Linked DNA regions of Rhinolophus ferrumequinum. The protein of the gene in region 1 interacts with the protein of each later gene in a biochemical or structural test. Links are inferred from orthologs where the notes say so. Each region holds a gene or a part of one and is shown in the gene's direction. Other genes may lie near its edges.

The links. The genes of interacting proteins can lie anywhere in the genome.
Region 2: of the proteins of PSRC1 (region 1) and ASB7, one has a biochemical effect on the other in vitro, tested with the Homo sapiens proteins (2 studies listed by BioGRID, with this or other methods). The link is inferred for Rhinolophus ferrumequinum from reciprocal best matches to the Homo sapiens genes PSRC1 and ASB7.

The regions. Positions count from the first base shown.
Region 1 is NC_046305.1:41,505,397-41,513,372, reverse strand, and holds the start of PSRC1 (proline/serine-rich coiled-coil protein 1), read left to right. Parts: upstream 1-4,904; 5' UTR 4,905-4,971; intron 4,972-5,337; exon of another isoform or gene 5,338-5,350; 5' UTR 5,351-5,389; coding exon 5,390-5,408; intron 5,409-5,499; coding exon 5,500-5,557; intron 5,558-5,998; coding exon 5,999-6,440; intron 6,441-6,799; coding exon 6,800-6,914; intron 6,915-7,004; coding exon 7,005-7,256; intron 7,257-7,567; coding exon 7,568-7,661; coding exon of another isoform or gene 7,662-7,665; intron 7,666-7,892; coding exon of another isoform or gene 7,893-7,896; exon of another isoform or gene 7,897-7,976. Other genes in the region: 40S ribosomal protein S26-like, read right to left, coding at 1,696-2,043. UniProt on the Homo sapiens protein: Required for normal progression through mitosis. Required for normal congress of chromosomes at the metaphase plate, and for normal rate of chromosomal segregation during anaphase. Plays a role in the regulation of mitotic spindle dynamics.
Region 2 is NC_046311.1:12,376,326-12,383,631, forward strand, and holds the start of ASB7 (ankyrin repeat and SOCS box protein 7), read left to right. Parts: upstream 1-4,228; 5' UTR 4,229-4,738; intron 4,739-4,906; 5' UTR 4,907-5,001; intron 5,002-7,306. UniProt on the Homo sapiens protein: Probable substrate-recognition component of a SCF-like ECS (Elongin-Cullin-SOCS-box protein) E3 ubiquitin-protein ligase complex which mediates the ubiquitination and subsequent proteasomal degradation of target proteins.

The DNA.
Region 1 (7,976 bases):
CCTAGCTGAGAAAAATTGAGAATGCATTCAATCCCAGAAGGCATTTACTTAAGCCTATCATTGCTAAACAGCAAATGAAAACCCTAAGGGATGCGTTAAAAGTACAGACTTCTCAGGAGAGCTGTCCCTGCCCGTTGGCTTGCAAAGACCGTCCTCTCACCATCCCCTCAAGTCCCCGTCAGAATGATGTTGGGTTAATGTTAGCCTTGTTACTGTTAACTGTCCTTTCACCTCTCTCCCAGCTGCTGCCCAGCAATGAAGCCGGGTAAGTAGAGAATTCATAGCACAGAACCCAGGGACCATGAAGAGGGGATGCCTCAGCACGTTGGATATGCTCTGGCTGTTTGCTGTTAGGGCCACAGTAAATTCTTTCTTTTCTGTGCCTCCAGGAAGCCTGACTGCGATGAGATTGAGCTCCAGCACAGCGTCTGGTTTGGACTGGTCTAAATAAATGTGTGGATTCTCAGTGCATAAGTGTCCATCTGTTTGAGCTTTTCCATATGGGAAAACCATTTAGGAAGTTGAAATTCTTTAGCCAGACTGTATGGAATCTTAGAACCCTCAGACTCCTCTTTCTCTTTCCATATCTACATTCTCTTCCACAAAGGTTTCTAACACTGTCTTGTCCCTAGATAATCATGACAGAGCTGAGTTCAACTCTATACAGTATGAGGTGCTGAAAGATGCTGAAGAAGACTTGCTCTCTTCCTCTCTGGGCTTTCCTGTAAAAGTTGCGTAACAGGATGCACATCTCTCACAGAGATCAGACAGCAGGACACACACACATATATACGTAGCTAATTAAGGACAGACCCCCCCCCAAGTCTTGAGGGCTGGGAGATACTGAAGAAATTGGAGCAGTCTCATTAAGCCCTCGAGAAAGAATTAAGCTGAGGTGCCCTTGCTTACGTTTGTTTTCATTCTTAAAACAAATAAGATACTGAAGGTATTCTGTGATGGAATCTGCAAAAGATAGCAACAATTCCTCCCATCCTAGTATGGGCATGGTACTCTTCCCACCAAGAGTTGGGGTCTATTTCTCCTCCTCTTGAATTGGGGCTGACCATGTGACCTGCTTTGACCAAAAGAATGTAGCGGAGGTGATGCTGGGCCCGTTCTGGGCTTAGACCTTAAGAGGTCAGGTTGTTTCTGCTTTTGCTTCTGGAAGTCAGCTCCCATATGAAGAATCTCGGGACAGATTACTGAATTATGAGAGGCCACATTATAGAGGACAACCAGGTATCCCAGCTGACAGCCAACACCACAGCTCTAGCTATGTGTGGCCACCTTGGACCCTTCATCCAAGCCTTATCTACTCCTTGTGGAGGGAAGACAAGTTGTCTCTGCAGAACCCTGCCCAAATTGTAAAATTATGAGCAGATAAATGGTTGCTGTGGTTTCACTGAATATCAGGGTGGTGTGTTACATGGTAATATATAACTGAAACAGCGCTCTATGCATCAGTCATTGAACTAAGTGCTTTGTCTCTTTTGATCTTCATTTTACAAATGAGTATGTTTAACCTTATAAATAGCTCCAAATATGCATCTGGTAAGTAGCAGAGCTAGGATTTGAAGCAGGTTTGTTTGACCTCAAGCATTCCCTATTTCCTCTCATCTCTCTTTTTTTTAAAGTATAATTTCCATTTTATTTTTCCCCCGAGAATATTTCTTCAGTCCTTAAGGACTTAGCTCCTTACATGGGCTTTGGTGGAGGTCGTGGGGCAGCACCCACAGGTCTAAATCGAGGTGGGGGTGTTCGGTCCTTCCGGGCTTCACAGGAACGATTCCTGACTACCTCGCTGTGAATGGCACAGCTCACACAGTAATGTAGTTTCACATACAGCTTGGGAAGCACATAGGCGTTGAAGACACTCGCTTCGGAAATGTCCCTAACAGCTGCTGCCTCTACCATGTTTCGAATGACGAACTTCTTAATGGCCTTGTACTTGGGCACGCATCGGGCACAGCTGGTGCAACGAATAGGCTGCACATGGTTGTGGCCCTTTTTGGCACTACCATTGTTTCTTCTTTTCTTGGTCATCTTGGAAGCGAGGACCCGAGAGAGGAGGCTCCTCTCATCTCTTTTACTCAGTGACTTCCACTGTAGTAGATATGGGCTTAAGAATGAAAAGATTTCCAGGATCCAGTAAATATTAGGCAAGATTTTGAGGAGGAAGGGGATGTGTTTGGGCTGAGAAGAGTGTAAAAGCCTTTTTTGTTCAGACTATTTTAAGGTCTATTTTAAGTTGAGGAAAAGTATCTTTTCTAGCCTTTCTCAACTGGAGTTCTATGAGAATTAAGACCCAATGTCCCAAGGCATCCACTGCATGTCATAAATTAACTTCTTCCTATGCATCTAGAATGTTACTAATTATGTACCATCCTTGGGAAACTTGAGAAAACAGTCACACAAATCATTTGTAGGGTCTAATGCACTTAAACCCTGCTGAGAATGTTAAGGGGTAGAGCAGAGTCCAGAGCCAACCAGCTCTCTCTACTCCTTCTAGCAGTACTCAGTCACTTTTTACATTTGACCCCTCACTTTATCTATGAAGCAAGGATTGTGACCATCAGTTTCATGGTTTGGATGATAATTATGACTATCAAGTACTCTCAGCTATGATGCCCTAAGCATCAGTTAGACCTCTGGCCTCAGCCCCCAGCCCCATGCCTCTGCTATTTGTTGAAGTACTCAATGACTATCCCTTAAAGTTCACCTATGCTCAACCTTCATGGTGAAGGAACAAAACCTTCTTTACACTGAACAAGACCCCTAATCACAGTTAATTCTTCTGCATTCAAGAAGACCTGCACTGGAATCCTTAATTTTTTTGATTTCTGTATTCATCACTTTGGAGTACCTTCTGAACTAAGGCCTACCATGTGCCTGGGCAGGAGTATAATTTCTTCATTAATTCACTTATTTATCATTTATCCAAAATCTTAAACACGTGTTCCTATGTATCATTTTGGGGTTGAGCTCCAGGGGATAAATATTTCCCAGATTAGTGGCCTTACACTGAGTGAAGAATTCTTGTACCTGAAATCTGTATTTTTCTGTCTTTGTTGTCATTTGGAAGAGAAAGTAGTTCTGCTTTTTTTTCCCCTGGTACTGCAACAGTTTTCAAAATCATAATTTGGCGATGGAAAAATGCAGATAAATTACCTTAGGAGAAACTAACTTCCCATTTGCCAAAACTGCTTCCCCCAATTACCTGAATATGGGTGAAGAAGTAAGTGCAGTTTCCCCACTCAAGCTGTTCCTAGGGAAAGAAAGAATGCAGTTAACTAACAAGTTCTTTCCCCCAGATCTCCACTTTGCCACTATTTGCCTGGAGAGGGAAGATACTGGCTCTGGTTTTCCCACCTCCATAGATCCTGAATCCTACAGGCAACTGAAATTTCACCTTCACTAGCAATCCTACGGAAAAAGAGGCAGTCCTCTTGTCTCAGCTCTTTCTCACATAAGCTTGCAAGTTCTGAGTCTCCCCACCCTTTCCCTTATCACCCCACTAAATTTCAAGGCTCCTTTGCTTCCAGTGGCGTTTATTACTGTAATATCTCACTCCTGCCAACCTCACTACCTCAACTTCACAGCTAAAAACGAGGAAGTAAACAAAAATGCCTATAAATGGCCCACAGATACTGGAGACTAGCGCTCAGGCTCTTTGTTTACAGGAAAGTTCTTCAGCCCATTTGTAGGACCTTTTTGATTTAATTTTTAGAACATTTCTAAACTCTGTTAACTGGTGACCCAGCCTATTCACAGGCAACACTTGGAAACAACAGAAAGAAAATCCCTAATAAGTGGGTTTATGTGTTTTACAAACACAGCTTTGAGTTTAGAGAGATAGCAAGTTACAAACACCCTCAAAAGCCCCTGACCTGCAGGGTATAAAACTTGATATTCGTAATTATCATCCAACCATGAAACTGACGGTCACGATCCTCGCTTCATAAATAAAGCGAGGGGTCAAATATAAAAATTGATTTGGGGTGGCCGGATGGCTCAGTTGGTTAGAGCACAGGTTCTCAACAACAAGGTTGCTGGTTCAATTCCCACATGGGATGGTACGCAGCCTCCTGCAACTAAGATTGAAACCTGCGACTGGACTTGGAGCTGAGCTGCGCCAACTAGACAGGACAACGACTTGGAGCTGATGGGCCCTGGAGAAACACACTGTTCCCCAACATTCCCCAATAAAATTTTTTTTAAATTTAAAATAAACAAATAAAAATTGATTCAAGCTTGCGTCACTTGTAAACGGAGGGGTCACGGTTGAATTTGAACCCCAATCTCCCTGTCTGAATCGCCCCGTCTGTAAAGACCGTTGTTTTCTTTACACCTTGGCTGCCTAAGGGTCTGAACGTTCTCTCCTAAAAAGCCATGGAAAACGTACTTCCTAGAGAACCTCGATATACCTAAAACATCAGTGTTTAGGTACTGCCGTAGCTTGGAAAAATCGCCACTGAGGAAATCTGGCAAACGCGGCGCTTGCATATGGAGTGAGTCTAAGGAAACGAATTTTCTCAGTCAGAGCGTTAGCTTTTGGGCCGACGGCAGCGAAAGGCATCAGGTGACCATGCCGGTCCCTGGGGCTACAAACCCCGGCTCCTCCTAGCAGTTCTGGGAGGGAGAGGAGAAGAAGGGATGACAGGGAGCGAAACCCACACTCATTGGCCAGCAAAGGCCTCCCGGGCACGCGCGCGCGCTCGCGACTCCCCCGCTTCAGCCCTTGGGTTGGAGTCTTTCTTGGAATGGCTAGCTCTCCAAACGGCCCCACCGGCGAACTTCCGGCCAGCGGCCCGCCGTCGCCCCGCCCTCTGGGGGGCGGGGGATGCTGGGATCCACCAATCACTGTGCAGAGGTGGTAGGAGTGGGTGGGGCGAAGAGATTCGAAAGGAGCCCCGCCCCCTCGGAGCTGATTCCCGGGACTGAGTTGTGCGGAGAAAGCACAGTTCACGGGAGGTGAGTGGGGGCGCGGAAAGTGAAAACTGAGGTTGAGCTGGAGGTGTGGCGTGGCTGTGGTGCTGCGGGGAGTGGAAAGGTGGCTTGGGGAGAGGAAGAACCCGGAGGATGGTGGCAGGGAGGAAAATAGGGCGCGCAGACCGCCCCCCAGTGAGGAGAGGCCGGGTCGCCTGGGGGACGGGAGGGCAATCTGCGGAGAGGATAGGAGTGCAGGGGGAGCTCTCCGCACCTTTCCGGGAGGTAACGGTAGTAACAGGGGCAGGTGCTGCTCCTAGGAAGCTTGCTTTATTTCCAGCATGACTCCCAACCCCCTGGCTTGCACCCTAGCTGAGAGCCTTGGGTAGGATGCAGATCTGAGGGAAGTATGTTTTCTCTCCAGTTCAGATCTAAGCTGACTCCTGCTCCTGCTGGCTGGAACATGGGAGATTTGCAGGAAGGTAAGGAAGCCCTGGAGGGAAAGCAGAGGCCCTGTGATGGAGAGCCATGTTAAGGACACAAGGCTGGCATTCATTCTTAACTCCCCTACAGATGTGAAGTTTATAGTGGATGAGACCTTGGACTTTGGAGGGCTGTCACCATCTGACAGGTACCACCAGCCTCTTTATCCTACTTACTTTCCTCCACCGATGGCTGTCTCTAGCCTCTTACTGGTGAATTTTTGGTCTCAAACCTGGGTCTCAAGGCTGGATGTGCTGGTGCTGCTGGGTGGCTGGTTCTCTTGGGCTTCTATGACACTACTCCTGGGCGAAGGGAGAAGCTGGACTGAGACTGCAGGGTGTTAAGAAAGAGGGGAAGTGGATTTGCTGCATCTTCATCCTGGCATAATTTCCAATGTCAGTAAATGCTAAAGGCTTATCAGACCTCACGGAACCCGGTCTCTCAAACCTAGAGGCCAGATCTCACAGCCAACATGGGCGTCAGGGTTTGGGGTTGTGTCTCTGGCTCTGCGCGGTTTTGCCCAGTCTCCCTTGTACAGTCTCCTGTTCTCTTCCATGGGGCACAGTGCCTGGTTTGTTTTCTGTCTCAGTCGTGAGGAGGAAGACATAGCAGTGTTGGTGACGTCAGAGAAACCCCTCCGACGCGGCCTCTCCCACCGAAGTGACCCAAATGCGGTGGCCCCCACCCCCCAGGGTCTGAGGTTCAGCTTAGGCCGCCTCAGCCCAGAGAAGCTGGAGGAGATTCTCGATGAGGCCAACAGGCTGGCAGCGCAGCTGGAGCAGTGTGCCCTGCAGGAGCAGGAGAGTACAGGCGCGGGCTCCGGGCCTCGAAGGGTGAAGCCTAGCCCTCGGCGGGAGACCTTTGTGCTGAAGGACAGTCCTGTCCGAGACCTGCTGCCCACTGTGAGCTCTTTGGCTCGGAGCACCCCCTCCCCAAGCAGCCTACCACCCCGACTGCGGAGCAGCGATAAGAAGGGGTCAGTCAGGGCTTTTCGGGCAACCTCTGGAAAGAGGCCCTCCAGCGTGAAGAGGGTGAGTTTGGAAGGTCTGGGCTGGATGTGTGCCCCCAGACACAGTGTGTGACTTGGTACAACCATGAAGTAGTTTCCTTGTTTGTCAAATGGAGATAGTAAAATTCTACCTCGTAGAATTATTGGAATTAAACGAAATACCATAAGCCATGCACTTACCACTGTGTGCATAGCTCTCTAATTCTGTAATAAGCTCTCAACAAATGGTACTAGTGATGATGATGATGTTGGCAGCTGACTTCTGCCATTCCTTACTGGGATCTAGGCAACTCTCCACCTCTATCCCTTAACCAGCCAGCAGAACAGATTCTTTTTCCATTCTAGTCGCTTTTTTTTTTCGTGTCTCTTTTTCTGTTTCAGGAGTCGCCCACTTGCAATCTGTTCCCCACATCCAAAAGCCCAGCATCTTCTCCTCTTTCCCGATCAACTCCTCCAATCCGGGGGAAAGCTGGGCCCCATGGGAGAGCAACAGCAAGTGAGAAGACCTGGGCAGCAAAGCTGTGGGTGAGTGGGAGTAGGGAGGATGTGGAACTTACCCTAAAATTCCTCTGTTGCTCTGCACCAGGCCCGCCTACCCCCGTGGTCAGACCAGTCTTGGCCCCACAGCCTTCTACCAGCAACTCTCAGCGCCCGTCTCGGCCACAGGGAGTAGCTGCTAAACCTTCCAGCCGACTGCCTGCTCCCTCGGCCATCCCCAGGCCTGCCAGCCAGGTGCCACTCACCAGCCGGAGTATACCACCCAGCAAAGGTGCCCTAGCTCCAGATTCTCTGTCAACTCGGAAAGGACTTCCAAGACCAAGCACCACAGGGCACAGAGGTGAGGAAGAATGGACAGTAAGGGTAAGAAGTCAGGAGGAAGAATACCTACTCTTGCCCACGTAAATCGTACCTCCCAGAGATGGTAACAATGACCACTTTCTCCATCTTCATTACAGCTCTATTTGAAGATGGCCAGACTGAGTTAAGGAGAGAATTTGGGCCTGGGCCAAGAGTTTTGAGTCTTGGTTTTCAAATACCGTGGGTGGGAGGAAAGGCAGTAATCCCAAACTCTGCCTTCATCCAGTATTTCTTTTGGGAAGGTCCCCTGAACTTGCTGCTAACTCGTTTCTTTTGCTAACTCCCATCAAGTTCCAGTTTCCCAGCGACCAAATCTTTCTGTCACTGGTACCACTCGCAGTAATCTGCAGCCCCCCAGGAAAGTTGCAGTTGCAGGACCTACCAGGTAAGACTGGTCGAGATGCTATCTCTTTCTCTACTGTCATCTGGGCTTCTGAGCTGTTATGTACAAGTCGTAGGTCAGTCCTGATTCCTGTGTGCCAAGCTGGGGACAAGGAGGGGAGCCTGGAGGGTCGGGGTGTCCCATGTCTTCCTACCCCAAGGAATTTGAACTCAGCCAGGTAACATATGGGCTTGAGGAAGAAGAGCAATAAAGCAGTTCCTCCTGTCTCTCTAGGTAAATAGATCAGGACAGCAAGCAAGAATTCAGTAGCAGACCACTACAGTCACTGCCTGGACTCACTCTACTCGGCCTCCCAAG
Region 2 (7,306 bases), on another chromosome or scaffold:
CTTAGTTGTTAAAATATGGTTCTACATTTTAAGTGAGGCTTCAGAATAAAATGTTTCTGCACCCATTCCCTTTCACCAATCGAGGCCCCTTCCATTCCTCCTCCTGCCCACCCCGCCCCCCCACCAAAAAAACCCCACCAAATGTCTATAAATGTGACATTTTACTTAATTTTTGAATTCTGAATACTGTACACACAAAACAGATTTGATTTCCAGTTGAAAAATAAGGTTACCTACCCCACCTCAGCAAAGTAGCACACACTAAAAGATTTGAGAAAGCGCAGGGCTTTTATGGTGAAAACCTTTATACAACTTAAGTGAGAGGATGCCAATACTCCTTTATTCACTCTGAAAGGTTCCTTTCTGACTCTGGACCTTGAGACAATGCTGTTCCCTCTGCCTAGAAAGCTCTTCCACCTACTTTTCCTTTTCTTTTAAGCTTAAATATGGTTTTCTGGGCCAACACACTGGACAGCCTTGAAGAAATAAGGTCCTAGGAACATTCTCAAGACCGAATCATGAAAAAATAGAATAGCTGAATGAACAGATTACTACTAAGATTGAATCCGTAATCAAAAACCTCCCAACACTCAAAAGTCCAGGACCAGATAGTTTCAGTGTGAATTCTACCAAACACTTAAAGAAAAAAAAATGATACTAATCCTTCTCAAACTCTTCCAAAAAAAAAAAAACCAGAGGAGGAAGGAATGCTTCCAAACTCATTTTACAAGGTCAGCATTACCCGGATACCAAAAGCAGACAAAGACACCACAAGAAAAGAAAATTACAGGCCAATATTATCTGATGAACATACACAAAAAAATTCTCAATGAAATATTAGCAAACCTAATTCAGGTTTGTAACCCAATGTGTTAAAAGGATCATACACCATGATCAAGTGGGACTTATTCCAGGGATGCAAAGATGGTTCAACATCCCCAAATCTGTGCATGTGATACACCTCATTAACAAAATGAAGGATAAAAAGCATATGATCATCTCTACAGACGCAGAAAAAAAGCATCTGAGCAAATTCGACATGTTTATCAGAAAAACTCTCAACAAAGTGGTTAAGGAGGGAACATGCCTGAACATAACAAAGGTCCTACACGACAAGCCTGCTGCTGACACCACACTCAATTGTGAAAAACTGAAAGCTTTTCCTTTAAGATCAGGAACAAGAAAAACGTACCCACTCTCACTACTTCTACTCAACATAGTATTGGAAATCCTAGCCAGAGCAATTAGGCAAGAAAAAGAAATAAAAGGCATCCAAATTAGAAAGAAAAGAAGTAAAACTGTTACTATATGCAGATGACATATTATATACAGAAAACCCTAAAGACCACCAAAAAACTGTTAGAATAAACAAATTCAGTCAAGTGGCAGGATACAAAGGCAATATACAAAAATCTGTTGTGTTTCTATACACAAACAATGTCAGAAAGAGAAATTAAGAAAACAATCTTAATCTTATTTACTCATTTACAATTGCATCAAAAAGGATAAAATACCTATGAATAAATTTAACAAAGCAGGTGAAAGACCTGTATAGAATAAGATTTTAATGAAACAAGTTGAAAAAGACACAAATAAATAGAAAGATAGTCCCTGTTCATGGATCGGAGGAGTTAATATTGTTAAAATGTCCGTATTACCCAAAGCAATCTACAGAGTCAATGCAATCCCTACCAAAATTCCGATGGCATTTTTCACAGAAATAGAGCAAATGAGCCTAAAATTTCCATGGAACCACAAAACACCCTGAGTAGCCAAAGCAACCTTGAGAAAGAATAAAGCTGGAGGCACCAGCTTCCTGATTCCACACTACATTACAATGTTACAATAATCTCCAAGCTAACAACCTCAGAATCCAGTTAGGGTCTGTCTTCTGGTCTCTATACTCAAGCATCTAAACGCCCCTGGAGAGTTCCACTCGGGGGTCCCACAAGCACCTTCAGCTCAAACTCAACTCGTTCTATGGCCTCTTAAACGTGTTTTCTCCTACACTGCCCGTATCTCAGTATATGGCATCTGTATCTCCTAGTCACCCAAGCTAGAAACCCAGACGGCCTCCTGGACCCTTCCTCATGCCACCTCTCTCCACCTGCACAGCCACTATTTAGTGCACATCTACCCTGGACACTGCAGCAGATTCCTTGCCTAAGTGGTTATTTCTTGGCCTACTCAACACCCACTTTCTTCTGAAAAAAACCTCTGCACTTTCCTTGGATAAAATCCAAACCTCTGAACACAGCTTAGCGGGCCCTTCAAGATCTGACTCTTGGGGTCTTCTCACCTCAGTGCCCCCAAAACTAAGCTCCAGACTTTCTCGGAGTTCTTTCCCAGTGCTTTGCTTAGAGTCCATTCTTTCTGACTAAATCATACCCAGTTGTCTCCCTCCTACTCTCAACCTTCAACTTGGAAACCTCCAGTCCCCATGGAGCCTTCCATAGATCCAAGCAGGGTTTGAGGGCCCTGCCAATTGCTCTCTCAGCCTATCCCACAGTATTGATCTCACCGCACTGTCCAAAGGTATTTTCTAGTTTGGTTCACACTTGACTGTGAGCTTCCTGGGGCAGGACTGAGCTTGCTTACGTAGCCAACAGGTAGCTCCCATGGGAGGCACCCAAATGAGTATTCTTGAACAAATGAGTTAACAGTGTAAAAAAATATATACCACGGGGCAAACTGAAAGTGTTTGTAGTGGTCCCCATCTTCCACAGAACAACATATTTTATTACATAAAAGCAGCTGATACGTTGAAATCACTTCTTTTATATAATTAGAAATGACATAATTTTCTTTGAAAACGTTGGTGGCAGCCAAATGTCTGGGGTGTCGGACGGCTGAGTCTTGCCTGGACAATAGCCTTCCATAGTTGCAGTCACCCAGCTCCCCGCCAGTCTTTTCCTTTGAGCAGTCAGGGATGCTTTCAAAACATACAGAAGATGCTATAACTTCCCTACCACGGCCTCCAAGGTCCTGCATCGAAGCTCTTCGTCCTACCCCACCCCCCCAAGTGCATCCCCATCCATGGTCCCCCTTCCCCCCTCCGCTTCAATACCCTGGCCTGGCCTTCTTTCTTGCAGTTCCTATAAACAAACGGCAAAGGGTATTCCAGCGTCAGAGGTTTTGTACTTTTGGTTCCCTCTGCCTGCAAAATCCCCCCCCCCCCCCCGATCTTGACATGGCCGGCTCCTCCGCATTCAGATGCCTACTCAACTGTCCCTTGCTCAGACACCTTTGCTGACACTATCCACAGTGGCCATCACGTCCGGGTCAAACTCCATCCCATTATTTCTGCTTGATATTTTTTGGACAGCCTCCCCCTCTGTCTGCTAATTGTGCGCTTTTCTGTCTCCCCGGTTAAAGTGAAAGGTCCACAGGGACAAGTCACCGCACTTACCTGGTTCACCAGAACAGTGCCCGACCCGTAACCACTTGCTAAAATGAAGAAACGCGCTCAGCAAACGGGTCCATCTCGCACGTCTTGCACTCTTTCCCCTTCACTCCCAGGAATCCGTGCGAACCGCTCTCCGCGTAGAAAAGCCCTTGAAACGTCCCCGCCATCCCCCCCAAACAGCCCTCTCTTCCACGTGAGGCGGGGGTACGCCCAGCCTGCTGGCTAACGGGCCTAAGGAATCCAAAGCCAAGCCAAGCATCCCGCCACCGAAAAGCGCCGAGGGGCGGCGGGACGAGGCGCCCCCTCTCTTCGCGTCCTGGCGACTGCCGCCTCCTCCACCTGGAACCCTCGGGCCGTTCTCTCAGTCGGCCGCACACACGCCTCCCCCGCCGCCGAGCTCAGGGGCAGCTCCCAGTTACCTGCCAGGGCTCCATGGCGCTCCAGCCACTCTGCCTTCGCATCGCCATTCGAACGAAGCCCGACCCCCTCCGGCCACCGTAGTTCACGCTGGCCCCGCCTCCCGCATGCGCAGAGGCCCTATTGAGCGTGCAGTGTCTCTTAGCAACCGCTTTGAGTCCCTCCGCCTGGGGCGGAGCATCGGAAGACACGGGGGGGAAGCCAACGGGGAAGTGAGGGAGGCCAATCGGAGATGAATCCCAGCCTCGATCGGCACGCCTCCTCTCACTGTCGCGAATGCGCAGGCGGCTTTACGGCAGGCAAGGGGTGGGGGCTGCCAGGGGGAAGGAGGAGAGAAGGAAGCAACCAACCAACCAAGTCGCCCCACCCCCCACCTCCACCCACCCCGGACCTGGTTTACGGCTCTAGGCTCAGGCTCTAGTGCGGCCGCTGATTGGCTGCTGAAGGCTTGGTCCATCCCAGTGACCCCAAAGTGCTGGAGGGAGGGGGCGGGGGTGGCCCAGTGCAAAGTGCATCCCGAAAGCCCCCTACCTGGATCCCCCGCGGCTGACACTTCGGACCCTTTACGACCCGGGACCTCGCTGCTCCGAGACCTCCCGTGTTACCCGGTAGCTGGGAGCCTCCGGCCCAGAGCGCGGCAGCCCCCTGCTCCGAGCCCTCAGACCCGGACTGCCCCCCCCCAACCCGAGCCGGGACTTCCTCCCTGCACCCCTGCCCCGAGGCTGCCCCGCGGCCAGGACTGCCTCTCCGCGTCTGCTCAGCTGTCTGGATGCTCGCGGGGTTGGGGCCGTGAGCCACCGAGGAGGGTCAGCAACACCCGTGTCCGGCCCTGCTTTGGGGTGCTTCTTCAATGGAGAAGTTGGTGCGTGTGGAGGAGGCTGAAAGGAAGAAGAGAAGCAGCAGCTGAGGAGACAGGTAAAGTCAGTTATGTTCCCCGAGGGGAAGGGGGCTGGCTGGGCGGGAGGAGAATCACTGCTTCTTCCTGCCTGCCTGTACCACTCTCTTCCTTTGCTCTCCCTTCCCCAAAGCCCCCTCCTCCCCGCCCCACGGGCACTGCACCACTCACAGGTTTCTGATTTCCAGGTTTGAGTTGGCTAGAGGAGTCCAGAGAGCAGGAGGAGGTCTGCCCACCCACCAGAGAAGTAGAAGAGAGCTTCTGACCATCATTCTCTATAAAGGTAACAAGCCAGCCCTGCCCTGCCCCGTTGTTTATTCTCGGCCCCTACCTCCTTAAGCAGCGCTCTGTTTTCAGGGTGGTTACCTGGGCATGCAACCCTTTCCTGGCCCCCAGTTTCTCAGCAAAAACAAAAACGCTGCCTTCGCCCTGATTCTTAACATTTTAGTAACTTCTCAACCCCCAAAACGTATTTTCTTCCTTTCTATTTGTATAGTGTTTCCGTGTTTTGCATTATCTTTTTGGTACACTGCACCATTTACCCTGCTCTGAGACTTTGAGACCTTTTTGTAGTTCCCCCCTTTACTCTCATAGGAATTCCTCAATTCCTTCTTAATTGCTTGTTAATTCTAAATGAGTCTGCTTTTTAATTAAATCCCAGTTTTCTGTTTTCCCCTTAATCCTTCCTGTCACCTTTCCTCTACCTCCATCAGAATATCTTTTGAGTTCCCTGACTGACAAGGGTTTGGGAGAGGAAGGTACAGTAATGACCTGAAATTTATGAGTTTTGGAAAATAATATGACTTTTTCGTAGTGGAAAGTGAATCTAATCCTATGAAAGCAGTAGTCTCCCTGAAGCACTTATGTGTAATTAACACTTCAGGCTTTTGTGTGTTTCAATGTGACAGATGTAGATGGGCGTTGAAACTGTTACAAAAAGATAAATAGTATGTTGCACCTCAGATTTTCTAGAAAAACTTACAAAACTTTACATAATATCTTGTTACTCATTTGACACTCAAGAATTTAAAAACAAAGGAATGTTTCAGTGTGTTTAGAACCTAAGGCTTTCTCTTTGCACTCTTCATAAATAAGATTTCTCATTTCAAAACCCTTACAGAGAATTTGTTAGATTGAAATGTAAGCATCTAATTCGTGTGATCACATTTCTACTACTATATGTTGTTGCTGCCTCTGAAAATACACTAAAGGTAAGTTTAGGACATTCGTGTAATTTCTAAAGAGGGGATATTAGGGAAATTATATGAGTTAATTCAGAAATTAGCCGAGTGAATGACTTCTAACATCCAGTAACATGAGTATAAAGTGACTTGTTAATCTCAGAGTTATTTTAATATCTCAGATTGTTTAGGGAATTTTAGGTACAAAGACGTACTTAAAATAGCAGAAGTTGTTAGGAAATCTTAGATTTACTCTGTTCCACTGGTCTTCCTGCCTTGCGTAAAAAGAAATTAACGTCTTCCATGATTCTTCTAATTGTCAAGACATAGTTAAAGATACTTTTAAGGGGCTCTGAGGGCTTGTATATTCTTGAGACCTGAAACCAGATAACCAAAGGAGAGTGTGTGCTACTGAAAGGGGTTGAAAATGAGTGTCTACCAATGGCTGTCCCACAGTGAATTATAGGCCAGCCTTGATAAGTGTATGTAGGGTCCACTTCATCTCAGTAAAAGCGAGGCTGAAGTCTATAAAGTTAAAGGCAATTTTCATTATTTAAGTATGTGACTCACCCAAATGCAGCCTAATGATTAGGCCTTTTAAAAAATGCTAAAATATTTGAAGTGTGTTTTGAAGGTAAAAGCGAAGTATGTAGTTTCTATTCAGTCCTTCTTTGTTAAATATTTTGTCTGCTTTAGATTTCCGTCTAGTATATTTTCCTGTCTGCGAGGTATCATCACCTGAGATGATAGGGAGTAGGTCTGTGGTGAGTCAAGCATATAAGGTAAAGAGAGTGTTCCCCCAGCCAGTTCATTCTCATTGCTTAAATGATATTTCATTGATTCTCTCAGCTTTTAATGCTTTTCCTGAGATTAGGGAATATATATCTAAGTTGTCAGCATCTGTTTCCAATATTAGCATGATTAAGAATAGCTGGTCTAGGTTATGCCAAACATTTAAAATATTTAATTTGGGTACTTATTTACCAACATGGCCAGTTAGGTGGTTTATGTTTTTCAACCTGGCACTTAACTTTGTGTTAATTCTATTGCCAGCCACATGGTATTGAAAGCCAAAAAAAAAAAAAAAAAATCAAACCACCTGATGAATTTGATAACCAAATATAGATTTATAATTACATAGGGAACATAACTGATTTTAATTGAAGATAGTCAGTGATGCATTTTGAATGTGCTATGGCCAATAATTATTTTCTTTATACCTAAAGTGACACGGTTCACAATTACTTACTATTAGGACACGAACAATATCTATTTTGTTACATTTAACTTTGGTAACACAGAAGTACATACTATCCCTAAAATGTCTAAAGTCAGATAAAGTTTATATCAGCATATCTAATATCCGCCTTTCAGCCTTTCATTTCATGCTCAGCTGACGGCATTCCC